Mus musculus: one gene and its partners. The protein of the gene in region 4 interacts with the protein of the main gene of each other region in a pairwise test. Links are inferred from orthologs where the notes say so. Each region holds a gene or a part of one and is shown on either strand. Other genes may lie near its edges.

Region 1 (4,036 bases), on a different chromosome or scaffold from region 4:
TACCTCACAGCAGCAGGTGGTTCAGTGATGAGGGCAAGTTCGAACTATAATATTTGGTTAGAAATGCTGAAAGTTCCCAGCCTAGGTTCGTCCTCATCTCTCTGAACTATAGAAAAATCTAGAGGGAACACAGAATAGAGTTTCTCAACCCCTCTCCCATTCCTAATTGGGATGTCTTTATTCCAATCATTACTCTAGCCTCAGCAAAGAACAAGAAATTTGGGGCTAAGATTGAGGTATTTCCAGTGCACTGATTGATACTTGTAGAATAGAGAGAATTAGAGGGCTCTGGCCAAGCACTGTGTCCCTATCTGTTGCAAATTTAAAGTCAAGAGCTGAATCTTGTGAAATTATTATTCCCCTATCTTCATGCATTCAGAAACCATACAAGCATTAGAACAGCAGTTTGAGTGGTCTGAAAAACCACCAACTATTCAAGGAATTTTGCAGCTGAATTATTAGGCTATGAAGAGTGAGATCTTAAAAAAACAAATACCTCAAATTATACTCTCATTTCTAGCATGTAGTCTGTGTGGTTTCTCAAAGAAGTGGAGACTATTATGATGACTATGGCACTTTATATTGTTTTTTAAACCCCTATGTAAAGCTTGAACAAGACACCATGAATAAGTCAATTCTGCTGCATTAGAAACTGCAACCCAGGGGGTTTAATAGCCTGTGTGGGATCCCACAATCTTGTAAAGATAAAAGACGAGGAATACTTACTTTCTCCCTACTAAACTCTGGCTCCTACAGGGAGAGGTCTTGTGTGATAGAACTCTGGTCCAACTCAGCTCTGCACATTTGATGAACGTGGAAGGTGGATAGCAGTGAGGGTGACAGACAAAGTAAGGAACCAGATTCCAAAGGCCAAATCATCCTTCATAAGGTGACACTGCACTACAACTCTACGACCCAGGGGCATTCACCAACTGTAATGTATTCTTCATTAAAGTATTCTCAGCTCACTTTAGTTGGGTCTTGTGATATATAGTGCAGGCTGGCCTAGAACTCCCAGTCCTGCCTTGACCTCCAGACTGCTGGGATGACAAGTGCATGCCACTATATCTGGGTCCTTTTCTTGCTCATTCATGTTTTCAAAAAATACTATATTAAACATTAAAATTTTATTACAGCCATATTTTAAAAACAACCTCTAGGAAATTCTAATTCTATAACAAAAGAGGATGAGTGACAGCTCTCAATTTCTTCTCACTGACCTAGCAGTGAATAACAAATAACTGTATGGCAGGGCTCAGTAGGACTGGTTCCTCAACTAGGATGTAAACCTCTTAATGGCTGAAATCGTTCTGTCTGGATGACTGCCACTTGGGTACAGAATGAAGTGCCAGGCATACTACAGGTACTCAATGTGTTTGCCAGGTAAGTGGAATTAAAAGATTTTTGTATTTGTTAAAAGTGGTTTCACCTAAAAAAAGCAAGCTTTAGCATTCTTGATTATGATAAGAAACAGAATATATAGTAAGCTGACTTTTTTTCCTTACCAGATGTTTAAAATAATATTCTACAAGCACAGTCCTGAAAAATGATTTACAGAACCAGAGGCCAGAGAAGTGCAACCCCAGCCTTGATGAGCAAGCCTTCTCTTATTCTCACCTGTGTCCAGGTACCTGCGACACTACAATGGCAAGTGCATCAGCCAGAGAAGGAAAAAAGAGGCTTACTCGGCCTTTCTGCACCATTTATTGCAAATGATTTTGGTAAACAACATAGTAGTACACATGGCTCCAGCTGCATCTGTAGTAGAGGATGGCCTTGTCATGCATCAGTGGAAGGAGAGGTCATTGGTCCTGTGAAGGCTCTATGCCCCGGTGTAGAGCCATTGTAGGCAGGGAGGTGGGAGTGGGTGGGTGGGTGGAGGAACACCCTCATAGAAGCAGGGGGAGGGAGGGTGTGATAGAGTGTTTTGAGGAGGGAGGGAACCCAGGAAAGGGGATAACCTTTGAAATGTAAATAAAATACCCAATTAAAAAAAAAGTTCCAAAAGCAAAAGAACTCTCATGGATGTGCCTGATTGGTGTTAGCAATTTGGGAAATGAACTAATTTTTGGGGGCTCGGTCAACTATTGCCTTTTTAAAATGAGGCACATAAGATTATTTGCAAAGCCTTCTGGACCGTAGTTAAGATCTTAAATAGTGAGGTGCTCAAATTAGACACACGCGCATCCCGACTCCCAATCTGAAGGACTGAGTGGTTTGACTTACACGTTTGCTCACACAGACCACACTTAGGCATGCATCAAAAGGAGCAAGAAAAAAATAGGAGCAAGAATCAAAATCAAATTCTATGATGGTATTTTATAACGAAGGCTCATTATAATGGCAACTTTTAATTTTTTTTTTACTGTTCTATTGGACTTTACCACCTATTTATATTCAACTGAATAAGTAACTTATAATAAAAAGTGCTGGGTCAAGTTTCAAATGCTAGCACTGGCATATCACTTAAAAGTTTTAGCAGGATTTTATATGCAGCCTGTGACAATAAGGTAACATTAGGTGTCTGCACTGAAACTCTTAAGAGAATGATGTCATGGAAGCCAAAGAACACAGTGTCTAGAAATTACTATTTTCTACAAGGTGGTAAAATTGAGATTTTTATTTTTTCTGAAAACTTCTGGCTATGAAAATAAAAAGGCACTTGTTTACACTGTCCAACGGTTGCAGGTTACCTCATTAACGTTGATCTTTGACTTTGCAGAAGATTCTAAAAAGGCACAGTTACACCACTGTCTTGCTAAATTCTGGCCTTGTTCTTTGCCAACTACCCGTTCATCTTCCAAGTCACATTTATTGCCAACCAAAATCATTGGAACCTGCAGGAAGGAAAAAGAACACAGCAGTTTGCAACTGTATATATCACTAAGTGATTCCAGGTGCTGTGTGTTGTGGTTGCTCAGGACAGAAGGAGAATGGAAGGCAGAGAGAGGGGCCAAAAATAGTGAACTCCTACTGGACTCACACACCAATTATTATAAAGAATATGATTCCATTTTTTCTTAATGTAGTGTATGAATGCAATGCACCATGTTCATGTGTGGTGCCCGGGGAGGCCAAAAGAGCTACAGAGGACTGTGAACTACTATGTGGGTACTGAGCATTGAACCCTGGTCCTTTGGGAGGACAGCAAGTGTTAACTACTGAGCCATCTCTCCATTCCTTAATAATAAAGAATAAAAATAGGAGTTGAAGAGACAACTCAGTGGTCAAGAGCATTTGCTGCTCTTCTAGAGGACCTGAGTTCAGTTTCCAACATTCACATCAGATGGCTCACAATCACCTGTAACTCCAGCTCCAGGGACTCTAACATCCGCTTTCAGCCTCCCTGGACACCCCTTAACAAGCGGAAGACACAACAAGCAGCTGTGTCTTTCCTGTCACTCCATACCACAGATGTTTGACTGTCTTTAACACAACATCCTACTTCCAATAAAACATTCAGCTAACAAACTGTGTTAGGTTCTTCAGCTAAATGTTCAGAGAACAAAGCCAGAAGGTTGTAAGGCAACGTACTACACACAAAAAGAACGTTCGGGATGTGATGAACCTTTTACCCAAAACAGGTTACATTAAACAGTCTAGGCATCTTTCTTCTTTTACTGACGGAGTAAAGGGGATTAACATTTTCAGAACTCACTGATCTGTGTGTTATGAAACAGAACTCTCTGGATAAAGCAAGGAAGACAACTATTCATTAAGGCAGTCATGGAGTCATATGGCACCTATTCCTCCTACCAACAATGTTACCAAGATTAAGGTCCTGAGAAGTTGTACATGCTCCCATTAGAAAACACACACACACACACACACACACACACACACAAAACCAGGAATGTGTAACTGAAAATTTCTATCTTAATTTATATAATGCAAAAGGAATTTCCCCATAAGTTCCAGGTGATGTAAACATATACAATATATTTTTTTTTTACAAAGGTAAGCAAAAAGCATATGCTACCAACAAAGGTAGCATATGACTATAATCCCAGTATTTAGAAGGTGGAGACAGAAAAAT
Region 2 (4,626 bases), on a different chromosome or scaffold from region 4:
TGAACAGCCTTAACCCATCAAAGGGAGAGGGGTATGCTGTCTGTTGGTGACGCCTAAATCCTGAACCATAGATCGGTCTGGTTTAGAACATGACTTATAAACTTGCTCAAGAGAAAAGGGGAAGAGATATGGCCTCCTCCGGTGACACCCGCATTATCTAGAAAAGATAAGACTTTTATGTTTAAATTGCTAAACAAATTCTATCTTGATTATCTTGAGTGTAAAAGATACATCCTGCATTCCAAAAATCAAAATACCTAATCCAAACAGATACTATCTTGGCTCAGTTTAGAAGCCAGAAGAGGACAGAATTACCTCTCAGGTCCCGCATCCACTCATCATCATGCAATCCCGGGCTCTAACTCCATGCCAGGCACCAAGCCAGGTACAGTAACCGGTGTAACATGTAATTATTTAGGATTTGCAAGGCATCCCTCTTTCCCTGAACCAAGATTAATAAAACCTCCGTCTTAAATATTAAGACAGAGCCTTCATCTTAGCTGTCACAAGAATAGTCAAGAAATTAACTGCAACTTCTAAGATCAGAGAGCTTTCTTCATCTGTCTTACCATTTCAGTGCTATCAGAAGTTGTTAAAAATAGCATGCACACACACTCAAGCACACGCACACACACTTCCTTTAGACTCTCCCCCAAATAAAATAAGTTAAGTGATAGCACCCAAATAAAGGACAATGGCTAACACCTCCACGTAGAGCTTTCCTTTCTGACATAACAACAAAAATCCCAGCACTGGAGAAGAAAGGATGGAGGGAGGGCACACATTACTCCTGACAGGGGCATGAAGAGGGCACTCACTCTAGTCCACTCTGCAAAACCTGCAGTCCAACTAGGAATGAAAGAAACATCCCCAGCCCCTCCTGGAAGGGAAATATAGGAACTTAGGAATCGATTAATAAGATGCCAGGCCCAATCAAAGAAATCGATCCTTTACTTTTTCAGAAACAGGATTTTAAACAGACACCATGCCAAGATTTCGCATGAGCAAACAAGCCACCTGGTAGACAAGGAGAATGGAGCGATGTATCTCACGGTTTTCTCTGCGAGTGGGTCAGCGGGAAAGCACAGTAAAGCAACCTCTCGAACTCCAGAGTTTGTTTTGTTTCCCCTCTGGTCCATTTAGTGGGGAAGGACTTTCTTCAGTGTTTTCACAGGGATACCTAACACACTCATAAAACCTGACCTGTCTCCTTTAAGACTTTGTTTTCTCCCCCACCCCACCTCCAGTATAGCCCCTGACTTTTACGGGACAGTTAGCTTCAAGGCACTTGGGAATTATTGAAAGCACACTGAAGTGGCCAAACAATGATTTTATACGAAAGCCAAAAAAAGGTGTTAGGGAAACAGGTAAAACAGATGGGCCAAGTCAAAGTGAAACCCAGGGCCCAGTGACAATGACCTAAACTCCCAGGGTAACCTTATACCTACAAATATTCATCCATCTACTCTGAACCCATGTCTACATGGCAGGTGACCTGAGCAATCTGCAATGCTGTTTTCCCTCAGGTCTTTTAGTGGGCCTGCTACCTCAAAGACAGCTATGTGCTGAAGTACTACAACAGTCTCAGCAGATCATGAGAATCCACCCCACCCCACCCCCCACCCCCCGCCCCGAATACCTCTCCGAATCACTAAGTATCCAAAATTAGCAGTACAGGTAAGATGCCCTATACTTTCTTCTTATTTGGTAATTTTTTTTTCTCAGCAAACTGGCGTTTTGTGGGGCAGATTACAAGACATAGCCATAGCATGATATGGGTAAACTACAAATCAACCAACCATTTAACTTTCAAAATAGCCTCCTGGACATATTTGAGAATCATCAACCTACAAGGACGCTTAAAGAATGTTCACAGATAGCCCACCTAACCTGGCGCAGCGATAACACCCCTTTATGACAAAGATAGAAGTCACTGCCATGAATACATAGACAGCAAAACCAAAATTCAACTGAGACTCTGACTTCGGCTCTGTTCTCAAGGTCGCGCACTAACTGGTCTCCATCCTTGCCAGTTTCTACACACCTGAATAAACCCTCATACACTGGTAACGTTACAACGCAGCCCTCTCTTTCTTGGTCTGGAAAGTATTCGGTCTTTCTCCGTACAGCCTTAAGTGTAATTCCTAGAAGGCACTGACAAATCTCTGCTAGGCCAATCTGCAGTGGAAAAACCATGTGTCCTACAGGATGACAGAAGGGCCAACACTTCTAACCCTCTACTTCAGCACTGCATGGCAACAGCCGTTCGTTCTGACACCATCCACGCAGAAAATGGGCAGGATCGAACACGGTTCATGTCAAAAAGGATCTGCTTGACCACAAACAGGCAGCTCTGTGGAAATACAATTTCTGGAACGAAAACACGAGGCTTGCACAATTCTAGAAACACGTCTAAGTGTTCCGTTCCAGCGCTGTGCTAAAAAAACTTTTCCTACCTAAACTTCCCAGCACGGGGCTGATCTCAAACCGATTGCCAAACCATGCACACCATGCACAAAAGCGGCGTGCACCACAACCACAGCCGCGGGGCAATGCCTGTCCCTGCCCAATCCTGCTCAGGCCGGGTTGCAATGTGGTTTAGTCCAGTCTACTTTCTGGTAATGTGTTTTTAAAATCCCGCCACGACCCAGGTCATTCCTTTAGAGATCTAATAACGACCAAATGACCGGACCTGCCAGGCACTTAGCGAGCCATTCTGCTTATGGCTCTTTAATAGCTCTTGGAGTTCTGCTAAGAGGAGAGCGGAAAACTCCAGCTTCCCCGGAAAGAAAGTCCTGCGCCGGGAGCGCGGAGAGGCGCGCGGAGCGTGGCCCCATCTCCCGCAGTCCCGCCGGTCCCCTCCGCGCCTTTACCTGTCAGCCCGTCCTCTCCCCCCGCCGCCGCCCCTCAGAGCCAGCCCCGGGAGAAAGCAACCCAAGGCATCCCATCCCAAAGAAAGAAAGCCGAGAGGCTGCTGCTCCAGGCAGGGGGCCATGGGCCACCGCGAGATCCGAGAGGCGACATGCCGCCGGCGCCCCGCACCTACCAGATAATCCATGTACAGAAACGCCTCAGTTATCCGGAGATCAGACATCCGGCAGCCTAAAGCATCCGGAATGGCTCCGAACCCGGAAAAAAAAAAAAAGCAGCAGCGTCTCGGGCTGCCAGCGAGCAGCTCCTGAAAAAGCCAGCAACAGCGAAGATCGCCGAGAGCAGCCGAGGAGCCGAAGATTACACCAGGGAAGCGACGATTGGCTGGGAGGGCGGGCCGAGGAAAAGGAGCGCGCTCATTGGCCGGAGTGTCTATAAAAGGCAGTCCCCCCGGTGGAGGGCAGCAGAGAAGCGCGGGACCCGGGACGGTGCTGGTTCCTGTTTGCTGGGGGAGGGGCGGGCGGAAACGCGCTGCGGCCCCGGGAGGCCGACTCTCAGCCTCTAGTCCGCTCGAGACCCGGCAAGCAGCCTGCCTGAGATTGAAGAGCAGCGGCGGCGGCGTCCCCGCCCACCCCTCCTTAAGAAAGCAGCCCAGGGCGGTGGGAGGCAGTTGCCCCGAGCGCCTTCCTGTGGCCTTGAAACGCCCTGGACCTGCGGATTAGAAGGGCAGACACCTTAAAGAAGGCAAACTGTGCAGTACTGGGGACTGCATTGACCCTCCAGGGTGTGGGTGTCTGCTACGGCGGACAACTTGAACTTGACCTTCCTGCGGCTCAGCACCAGTGCAGTCCAGACTAGGAACCTAGAGACTCACAAGTAAATTGATCACCCCAAACATTGAAGGAGACAGGCATCTGATCTTTGCATGCTTAATCCAATGTACCTGAATAGAATGAGCGGTGGGATTGTGAAAGTCCTCTAAAGGACCCAAGTAATACTGTTTGTGAACCTTATCTTAGGAAAAACAGAGCCGGTGCACTTGAGACTTGTGCGTTTCCTAAATTAAAAAAAAAAAAAAGAAAAAAAGAAAAAAAAAAGCAAGCCGGGCGGTGGTGGCGCACGCCTTTAATCCCAGCACTTGGGAGGCAGAGGCAGGTGGATTTCTGAGTTCGAGGCCAGCCTGGTCTACAGAACGAATTCCAGGACAGCCAGGGCTACACAGAGAAATCCAGAGAAACCCTGTCTCAAAAAAACAAACAAACAAACTTGGGGCCCGGGCAGTGGTGGTGCACGCCTTTGATCCCAGCACTTGGGAGGCAGAGAGGCAGGCGGATTTCTGAGTTCGAGGCCAGCCTGGTCTACAGAGTGAGTTCCAGGACAGCCAGAGAAATACAGAGAAACCCTGTCTCGAAAAACCAAAAAATAAAAAATAGAAAAATTTTAAAATTTTTTTAAAAAAGAATTACTTGGAATTGAGTGAAAATGGGAGTCAAGCGAGATAAAGACAACGGTCAGTTCTGGATTTTTTTTCTTTCACCTCCAAGATTCAGGCTAGAAAGGACAGTCAAGGCAAAGGTGAGACAAGATAAGCATGCCATTTGGAGTTGGGTATGGAGAGGAGTAAAATATAGAATGGCAAGAAAATAAAAATCAAAATTGAATCTACTGGCTTAGTGCAACTGAGACTTACTAACCCTGGAGTAAAACAAAACAAAACAGAACAACTCCTTTTAAGAAGTTATTACTTAAACACAT
Region 3 (4,036 bases), on a different chromosome or scaffold from region 4:
CTTCACATCTTTTTCTATAAAGACCAGGGGTTCTCAGCCTTCCTAATGCTGCGGCCCTTTAATATAGTTCTTCATGTTGTGGTGACCCCCAACCATAAAAATATTTCATTGCTACTTCATAACGGTAATTTTGCTACTGTTATGAATCGTAATGAAAACATCCATTTTTTCCAATGATCTTAAAACCCCACAGGGATCTGCCAGTGAGGCAGATGCTTCAGGGAGCTGCCATGTGGACAGGAAGCGAAGCCTTGCCACCATCTCACCTGGACGCCCTCGCCTGTGAGCGCTGAACAGGACTGGATCTGCCAGACGCGGTCCCGGATGGTGTGGAGGTTTAGCCCTTCTGCGATCTCGGAGGCTGGGGCTGCCGTGAGCAGGTCCTGCTTGTTAGCAAAGATGAGCACGGGCACACAACTCAGCTTTTCTTCCTCCAGTAATTCCGTTAGTTCCTGGACCATTTTTTTTGGGGGGGGAGGGGGGAGGGAGAAGAGAGAGAGAAGCTTGACAACCATGACACGTGAGCGCACGCCACACTTGGAATCATAGCACACTAAGCTGTTAGGTTGATCAGCAGCAACTTTAAGGTAGAGATCTCAGGCTTGTACCTTTGGAAGATTCCCTAGCAAATTTCTGGGCTCAAACTAGGAATTCTGACTATAGAAAGTTAGAGCCAGCACTCTGGAAAGCCTCAACCCACTTCCCAGGACAAAGAAGCAGAAACCCGGGATCTTCAGCCATTGGATACAGGGCAAACTTTCTGCACCGAGATCCAAACATGGCTCTCTAAAGATTCCCTCTATCCTCGCTGCTCCTGGGGGTGGCCTCATCTGGGTCCAATGGTCGAGGCCCCAGGCTGCTCTGTGTATGACTGTATACACAGACCGTATCATCTAAACATATTGACATGCACCCTGCAGTTAAAGCCGTATTTGAGTTCAAGGCTGATCTTGTTTCCCGGCGTGAGAAAAAGAAGCTGAGTTTTGGCTTGTGTTTTTCTTCTCACCCTTCTGAATTTGCCAGTGTTTGATCAAGTACTCCTGGTCAATTAAGGATGGAAAAGTATAACCAGAAGTGCTCAGTGTAGTGTCCCTGAGTTCATTCCTACGTGGTCTGGGAAGACACACAGAAGGGCTTTGGGGTGTGGTGCAAAGTTCCACTTGCTTAGATTTTTTTATATTCAATTTGATCAAGCTAAAAGGACTTCACCAAACGACATTGTGAAAGACTCCCAACTAATTTCTTTTTGGACAGTTGTATTTTCGCCTGCTCACCAGAGTGAGCCTCTTCCGGGTCTGTAATAGTTAACAAAAGGCACTCCTGTCCCTCACATACACTTCCAGGTGGATTGATGAGCGCTGGGGTTTAGGGAAGGGTCAACACATAAAGCATTTACCTGACCCGTCTCTTCAAATCTCTTTCTGTCGGCACTGTCAATTACATAGATCTGCAATAGAAAACCAGAATGTTACTTTAATACACAGAGACAGAAAGAGAAGGGGCAACTTTAAAAAAAAACTGGTCCTCAGTCAAGAGAGTTCAGATTAACCCAACAAATGCAAACAGCCTGGCCTCAGCTCACTTCACCTGTGGAGCAAGAAAACCGAATGCATGAACTAAGGATGCTGGGAAAACACACCAGGGGGGAGCCCAGAAACCCAGGGATTAACCCTGGAGGGAGCCCCCGGGGATGTGTTGGGTGTTTGGGGGCACCTGCAATCCTACACTTCTGGGGTGTCTCTTCTCTGACAACACTGCTTCAGCATTACTTCTAGGCTGACTTTGGGACCATGACAAGGGACAGTTATTTGTTCATTGCTATCATCACCACATGCTGCTGTGATGTCAAGGGAAGTCTAGAAATAGAAGGACAAGCTATACTAGAAGTTAATGTCGTTGTTTTGTTTGTTTGTTTTGCGTCAGGGTATCATGTAGTCCAGGCTGGCCCTGAACTGGCTTTGTAGTCAAGGATGCCCCTGGAATTTTGAACTTCCCTCTGCTTGCTGGGTCTCGGTGTGTTTTAAGGGGTGCTGGGGATTGAACTCAGAGCTTTACGTGACTGCTACGTGAGTACTCACCTCAGCTTTCCCAGCAGAAAGAAAATTCGAGACTCATTGTAAGTTATAAATTTGAAGCTTCCCCCTCTACCCATGAGTTTTAGTTACATAACAGTAAGGAAAATAACGTTTTAAAAAGAGAATAAAAAACCATCCATAGTCACAGCTTCTAAAAACACTGGCAATTTAAACCTCCTACAGAAAGCAGTGGGCATGGGGCAGAGGCAGGAGGATCTTTGTGAGTTTAAAGCCAGCCTGGTCTACACAGTAAGTTCCAGGACAGCCAGGACTGTTACACAGAGAGGCCATGTCTTGAAAAATCAGAACTCTGGAAGCAGAGACAGATGGATCTTTGTGAGTTCAAGGCTAGCCTAGTCTACATAGTAAGTTCCAAGTCAGCTGGGACTGTTAAACAGAGAGACTGTGCCTTGAAAAACCAATATCTAGATAGATAGATAGATAGATAGATAGATAGATAGATAGATAGATAGATGATAGATAGATAGATAGATGGATAGATAGATAGATGGATTGATTAATATCCTACAGTAAGTTCCAGGACAGCCAGGACTTTTGTATAGAGAGAAATCCCGTCTTGCAAAACCAAACAGATAGAAAGACAGATAGACAGACAGATAGATATCCTACAGAAGGCCCTGTCCCACCAGACTGATCTAAGTTCCAGCATAGGCAGGCCAGTTACACAGAGAGACCCTGTTTTGAAAAACCATCCAAACAACCAGTCAAACAAATATTCTACAAAAGGCTCCACCCCATCAGGTGTGGTAGCTCAAGTTTGTAATTCCAGCATGTTAGGGGCTGAGGCAGGAGGATTGCTGAGAATGAGGCCAGGCTAAGCTAATTTTAACTCACTCCTAGTGAGACCTGTCTTGAAGAAAAGAGAAGTTCTTTCCTAATTCTTCATATACACATTTAAAAAGAAAATTGGAAAAAAACTTTGTACTTTTTAAGCATTTTATTTCTTTTATATGCATGGGTGTTTTGTCTGCACAGGCCATGTCGTATAGCATGTCCCACAGAGGCCAGAAGAGGGTGGTGGATCTCCTAGGACTGGAGTTAGAGAGGTTGTGAGTCACCAGGTGAGTGCTGGTACATGAACCGAGGGCCTCTACAAGAGCAGTCAGGACTTTCAGCCACAGAAACACCTCTCTAGCACCCTTTTTTTTTTTTTTCCAAGACAGAGTTTCTGTCTAACCCTGGCTGTCCTGGAACTCTCTTTGTAGACTAGGCTGGCCTTGAATCAAAAGATTTGACCACCTCTTCAAAGTGCTGGGATTAAAGGTGTGTCCCCTGGGCTGGTGAGATGGCTCAGTGGGTAAGAGCACCCGACTGCTCTTCCAAAGGTCCAGAGTTCAAATCCCAGCAACCACATGGTGGCTCACAACCATCCCTAACGAGATCTGACTCCCTCTTCTGGAGTGTCTGAAGACAGCTACAGTGTACTTACATATAATAAATAAATAAATCTTTAAAAAAAAAAAAAAAAAAAAAAAGGTGTGCCCCTCACCACCTGGCATGTTTTTTAAAAACTTTATGAAAATAACATTGTTACTTAGTGAACTTGGTGATAGACACCTGGGTTCTCACTGTTTGGGAGGCTGAGGCAGAAGGATCATGAATTTGAAGTCAGCCTGCACTATAGGCACAGTAAAGATTGTTTGAGGTTCGGAAGAGTTAATGATAATTTTTTCGCACAATGTTTCTTCATTTAGTCACTAGTGCTCACTACTATTCCAGAATCCAAGTTTACATTTTCTCTCAAGAATGGTCGGGGGGGGGGGGGGGGGGGCTGGGAGATAGTTCAGTGGTTAAGAGTACTGCCATGGGCTGGTGAGATGGCTCAGCGGGTAATAGCACCGACTGCTCTTCCTGAGTTCAAATCCTAGCAACCATATGGTGGCTCACAACCTTCCGTAACAAGATCTGGTTCCCTCTTCTGGAGTGTCTGAAGACAACTA
Region 4 (4,036 bases):
GATTTGATTCTGTTGTTTGTAACCAAAGAGCCTTACACGAGGCACCTGTCCAGTGAGTGATGGCATTTACTTTTCTGGTTAGATGGTTATCTCCGTGGCTGTGCCAGAAACTGAGCCTAGGACCCTGTGCATTCAGGCAAGAACACTCCCACTGAGCCATGAATGCTCCCATCTATAAAACGGAATACTGTTGCCATATCAAATCCCTTTGAGGGTTTAAAAAATATTTTATTTAAAAAAATAATTATTTTAAGGCTGGGTGTTGTGGAAGATGCCAAGACTTGGAAGATAAAGGCAGAGACAGGCAAATCTCTGAGTTTGAGGCCAGCCTGGTCTACAGAGTGAGTTCCAGGATAGTCAGGACTACATAGAGATCTTGTCTCAAAAAAAATTAAGAATAAAAAGTATTGTTATGTGTATGGATGTTTTGCCTGTGTGCAACACACATGTGCCTGGTGCCCGTGGAGGCCAGAGGAGGGTTTCATGTTCCATGGAACTGGAGCCACAGAGAGCTGAGAATTGCCTGTGAATGCTGGGACTCAAACTTGGATCCTCTGGAAGAGCATCCAGTACTCTTAGCTGGAGAGCCACCTCTCTAGCCCCTTTTATAGCTCTTTTATCCACTTGCTGTGGCTTTCAGGGAGTATCTCCTGCCAGATGAACTAGTGTGGCACAATTATATGTAGGTCTTAACTTTTTAGGCAACACTAATACTGAGACTTTCTTTTGGCAGTGAAGATCATAGAATTCACCTATGTTAAGCAAGCTCTCTACCACTGAAATACAACCCCGGGCCTACTGAAATATTTGAAAGACTCTATCTTGTCCCAAGAGAAAAAGGTTAGGTGGCAGTTACTGACAATGTTTTTATTTTTATTTTTAAATTTTTTTGTTTTTGTTTTTTTGAGACAGGGTTTTTTGTATAGCCCTGGCTGTCCTGGAACTCACTTTGTAGACCAGGCTGTTTTTGAACTCAGAAATCCACCTGTCTCTGCCTCCCGAGTGCTGGGATTGAAGGTGTGGGCCACCACTGCCCGGCCTGTTTGTTCTTTCTACTTTTCTGCCTGTGAGTAGGACCTGGAGTCCCGCCTGCCTGAATGCCTGTTCTAAGATACATTTTGAAGTCTACTGGGCCCTCACTCACGTTAGGACGCTGGCGGGCATCATCTGGGACTCAGGCGCTGCTTCTATCAAGGACTGCCAGGTGTTTGTGGAGTTAGGGATCACAAAGCCAAACTCGAAGAACCACTCTGAAGGAAGAAGGAAAAGCCAGTGAGCAGGTGCTACTTATGGGCATGGGGAACTATAGGCTGTGTCCCTCTCCTTTAGAGTGGGTTTTCCCTATCCAGAACCACAAAAGAAACCTATCAGATACCTCCTAAATCAGAGAGTTACACGAAAGGACACAGGGACACTCACAGACTCTCTTCTGATTTGTGCCACAGGCTGGCTTTTTTTCTCTTTTATTTCTTTTTTCTTTTTTGGTTTTTCAAGACAGGGTATCTCTGTGTAGCTCTGGCTATCCTGGAACTCACTTGTAGACCAGGCTGGCCTCAAACTCACAAGAGGTCCACCTGCTTCTACTTCCTGAGTGCTCGTATTAAAGGCGTACACGACTACACTCAGGGACACTGGGCTGTTCCTTATGGGTTTAATAGACAAGGATCGGGAAGGAGACATTAGAAGCAGCATTTTCTTAGGAGCAGCAAGCTCTGCAGTAAATCAGAGGTAGGCAGCACTCCAGTGTCTACGTGTTCTCTGATATTTTGAGTACTCAGTTCAGAGTCCTTCCCAGTCACAGCTTATGATGTATAGACACAACCCTATACTACACTTCATCATAAACTGCTTCTTCCAAGATCACATTGTAACAACACCACATCAGGCACAGGCACAGGCACAGGTACGGGCACCCAGGCTTCTCATATCAGAGAACTCAAAGCCCACTTTACTTGGTGTCCAGTCTTGTTTTGGTTCGTATTCACTGGGGTTTCCCAGTGCTGTAGAATGTAGAGTCCATTAGTGATAAGGTCAGTGCTTTCAGAGCACTGCCTGCCTGCTGCCCCCCCCCAGCTCCAGACACACATGGGGCAGAATACCTTCTAGGCATTGTCCTTTGAAGTAAACTTTTTGTTCCAGGCGGAATTTTTCCATTTGTTCTGCTGAAGAAAAGTTCAATTCTCGAGACACTGCCTTGCACTTGAGGATTTTCTTGGGCACACGGGCTGATGAGAGAGAGAGAGAGAGAGAGAGAGAGAGAGAGAGATTGGTACTATTCTAAATGAGAACCACAGATACAACACTTCAGGATCCTGGGAGTTCCTTTGGCTGCCTTAGAGAATTTGTTTGGATAATTAGCTTTCATTAAACGCCTTGGTAACTGCATTATGTTCCAGCTAAAGGCAGAGGGATCTAATTGGTCAGCACAGGAGACTCGTCGTCAAGGAACACCAGATTAGGTGTCTCCACAGGCCTCACCATGCTTTTGGCTGTGATGAACATCCTCTCTCTGTGCAGCTGTCAGAGCCTGCTTTATGCTCTGATTTCTTGAAATGATTTACCTTTCCTTTTTTCCTCCAGAAAGATAAAAATGAAAATTTTCTTCTGGAAAAAGTTGAAATATTATAACTTCCCTTTTCTTTCCTTTTTGAGACAAGGTTTCATGTGGTCCAGATTGGCTTTAAATTAACTATATAGCTGAGGCTGGCCTTGAACTCCTGATCTTTCTGTCTCAATCTGCAAAGTGCTGGGATTACAGGAACATGCCATCACATCCAGATCTGGGGATGGTCCAGAGCTAAGGTGGATTTGGGAAGTGAGAGAAGGAAATGTAAAAATGGAACAAGAAGTGTTCTCTCGGTTCACCTGCAGGGCTCACCTGTCTAGTAGCTGCGTGCTTACTTAGCTCCTTGATGCCAGGGTCTGTTCTGGCAGTGGGCATAGTTTGTACACTCAAGGGGCTGCAAAGTACCTTCATGTTCCACACCAGGGACAGACAGGTCTTCTGTTCCTTGCCAGAGTATCTTCCCTGTTTCGGCATCCCGAAGGTTCATCCAATTTCTGATCAAGTATGATTAAGGAGACTGAGGCTCTGAGAACAATCCCTGTCCTGGAACTCACTTTGTAGACCAGGCTGGCCTGGAACTCAGAAATCGGCCTGCCTCTGCCTCCTGAGTGCTGGGATTAAAGGCATGCGCCACCAAGCCCAGCTGACTCCAGAGGTTTTTAATCTACACCATGTTACATAACATCTGAGACATGAACTGGGATATAGCTCAGTGGTGGGGAGCTTGCTTAGTAGTTTCAAGGCCCTTCTTCAAATCTCAGCATTGAGAGAAAGGAAAGAACTCAAAGATAGCAACTAGAACTGGTAGCAAGGGCTAGAAGAAAGAATAGTGAAAAAAATCTAAATATGTCAGAGGAGTCTCATCAGCCAAAAAATGGTAAAAATATAACAGGTCAGATCTCAGGGTACCACCAAAGGACTAAGCCATACAGTTACAGTTCATGAGCCTCCCTCACTACTGCACAGCTCTCCCAGACCTTTTAAGTGTTAGGAGACAGCTTGACCTCTAGATCTCACGGTGGAAGTGCAGAACAGATGCCCAGTAGATGTCCTCTGACCTCTCTGACCTCCACAAAAGTACTGTGGCATATGTACACATGGAGAGAGACACACAGGCATACACACGCAACCCAGTCAGCCAAGAATCATCAGAAATCAAGACATTTACTATGAAAACAAAGAAAAAATAAGAGAAAAAATACAGATCAAGATGCAAAATTTTAAAAAAGAATATTAAAAAATAATAAAAAGATATCACTGGAGAGATGGCTCAGTGGTTAAAGTCTGTTGTACCTTTTGTCAGGGGTCCAGAGTTCAGCTTACAGAACCCATATGGGGCGGCTCACAACTGCCAATATCTTCAGCTCCAGGTGATCTAATGCTCTCTTCTGCCCCCCCCCCCCCCGACACACACAGACACACACAGACATGCAACATAAGTAGCACACACAGAAGCAATCTTTAAAAATG

The links.
Region 1: the proteins of Pde6d (region 4) and Rap1a interact in a two-hybrid assay, tested with the Homo sapiens proteins (2 studies listed by BioGRID). The link is inferred for Mus musculus from reciprocal best matches to the Homo sapiens genes PDE6D and RAP1A.
Region 2: the proteins of Pde6d (region 4) and Arl15 interact in binary tests that used the Homo sapiens proteins (3 or more experiments, as listed by UniProt). The link is inferred for Mus musculus from reciprocal best matches to the Homo sapiens genes PDE6D and ARL15.
Region 3: the proteins of Pde6d (region 4) and Arl3 interact in binary tests that used the Homo sapiens proteins (3 or more experiments, as listed by UniProt). The link is inferred for Mus musculus from reciprocal best matches to the Homo sapiens genes PDE6D and ARL3.

The regions. Positions count from the first base shown.
Region 1 is NC_000069.6:105,735,062-105,739,097, forward strand, and holds part of Rap1a (ras-related protein Rap-1A), read right to left. Parts: intron 2,838-4,036; coding exon 2,694-2,837; intron 119-2,693; exon of another isoform or gene 4-118; intron 1-3. UniProt on the Homo sapiens protein: Counteracts the mitogenic function of Ras, at least partly because it can interact with Ras GAPs and RAF in a competitive manner. Together with ITGB1BP1, regulates KRIT1 localization to microtubules and membranes.
Region 2 is NC_000079.6:113,793,117-113,797,742, reverse strand, and holds the start of Arl15 (ADP-ribosylation factor-like protein 15), read right to left. Parts: upstream 3,236-4,626; 5' UTR 3,095-3,235; coding exon 3,047-3,094; intron 1-3,046.
Region 3 is NC_000085.6:46,542,086-46,546,121, forward strand, and holds part of Arl3 (ADP-ribosylation factor-like protein 3), read right to left. Parts: intron 1,448-4,036; coding exon 1,397-1,447; intron 453-1,396; coding exon 267-452; intron 1-266. UniProt on the Homo sapiens protein: Small GTP-binding protein which cycles between an inactive GDP-bound and an active GTP-bound form, and the rate of cycling is regulated by guanine nucleotide exchange factors (GEF) and GTPase-activating proteins (GAP).
Region 4 is NC_000067.6:86,544,558-86,548,593, forward strand, and holds part of Pde6d (retinal rod rhodopsin-sensitive cGMP 3',5'-cyclic phosphodiesterase subunit delta), read right to left. Parts: intron 3,061-4,036; coding exon 2,972-3,060; exon of another isoform or gene 2,879-2,971; intron 2,226-2,878; coding exon 2,100-2,225; intron 1,251-2,099; coding exon 1,145-1,250; intron 1-1,144. UniProt on the Homo sapiens protein: Promotes the release of prenylated target proteins from cellular membranes. Modulates the activity of prenylated or palmitoylated Ras family members by regulating their subcellular location.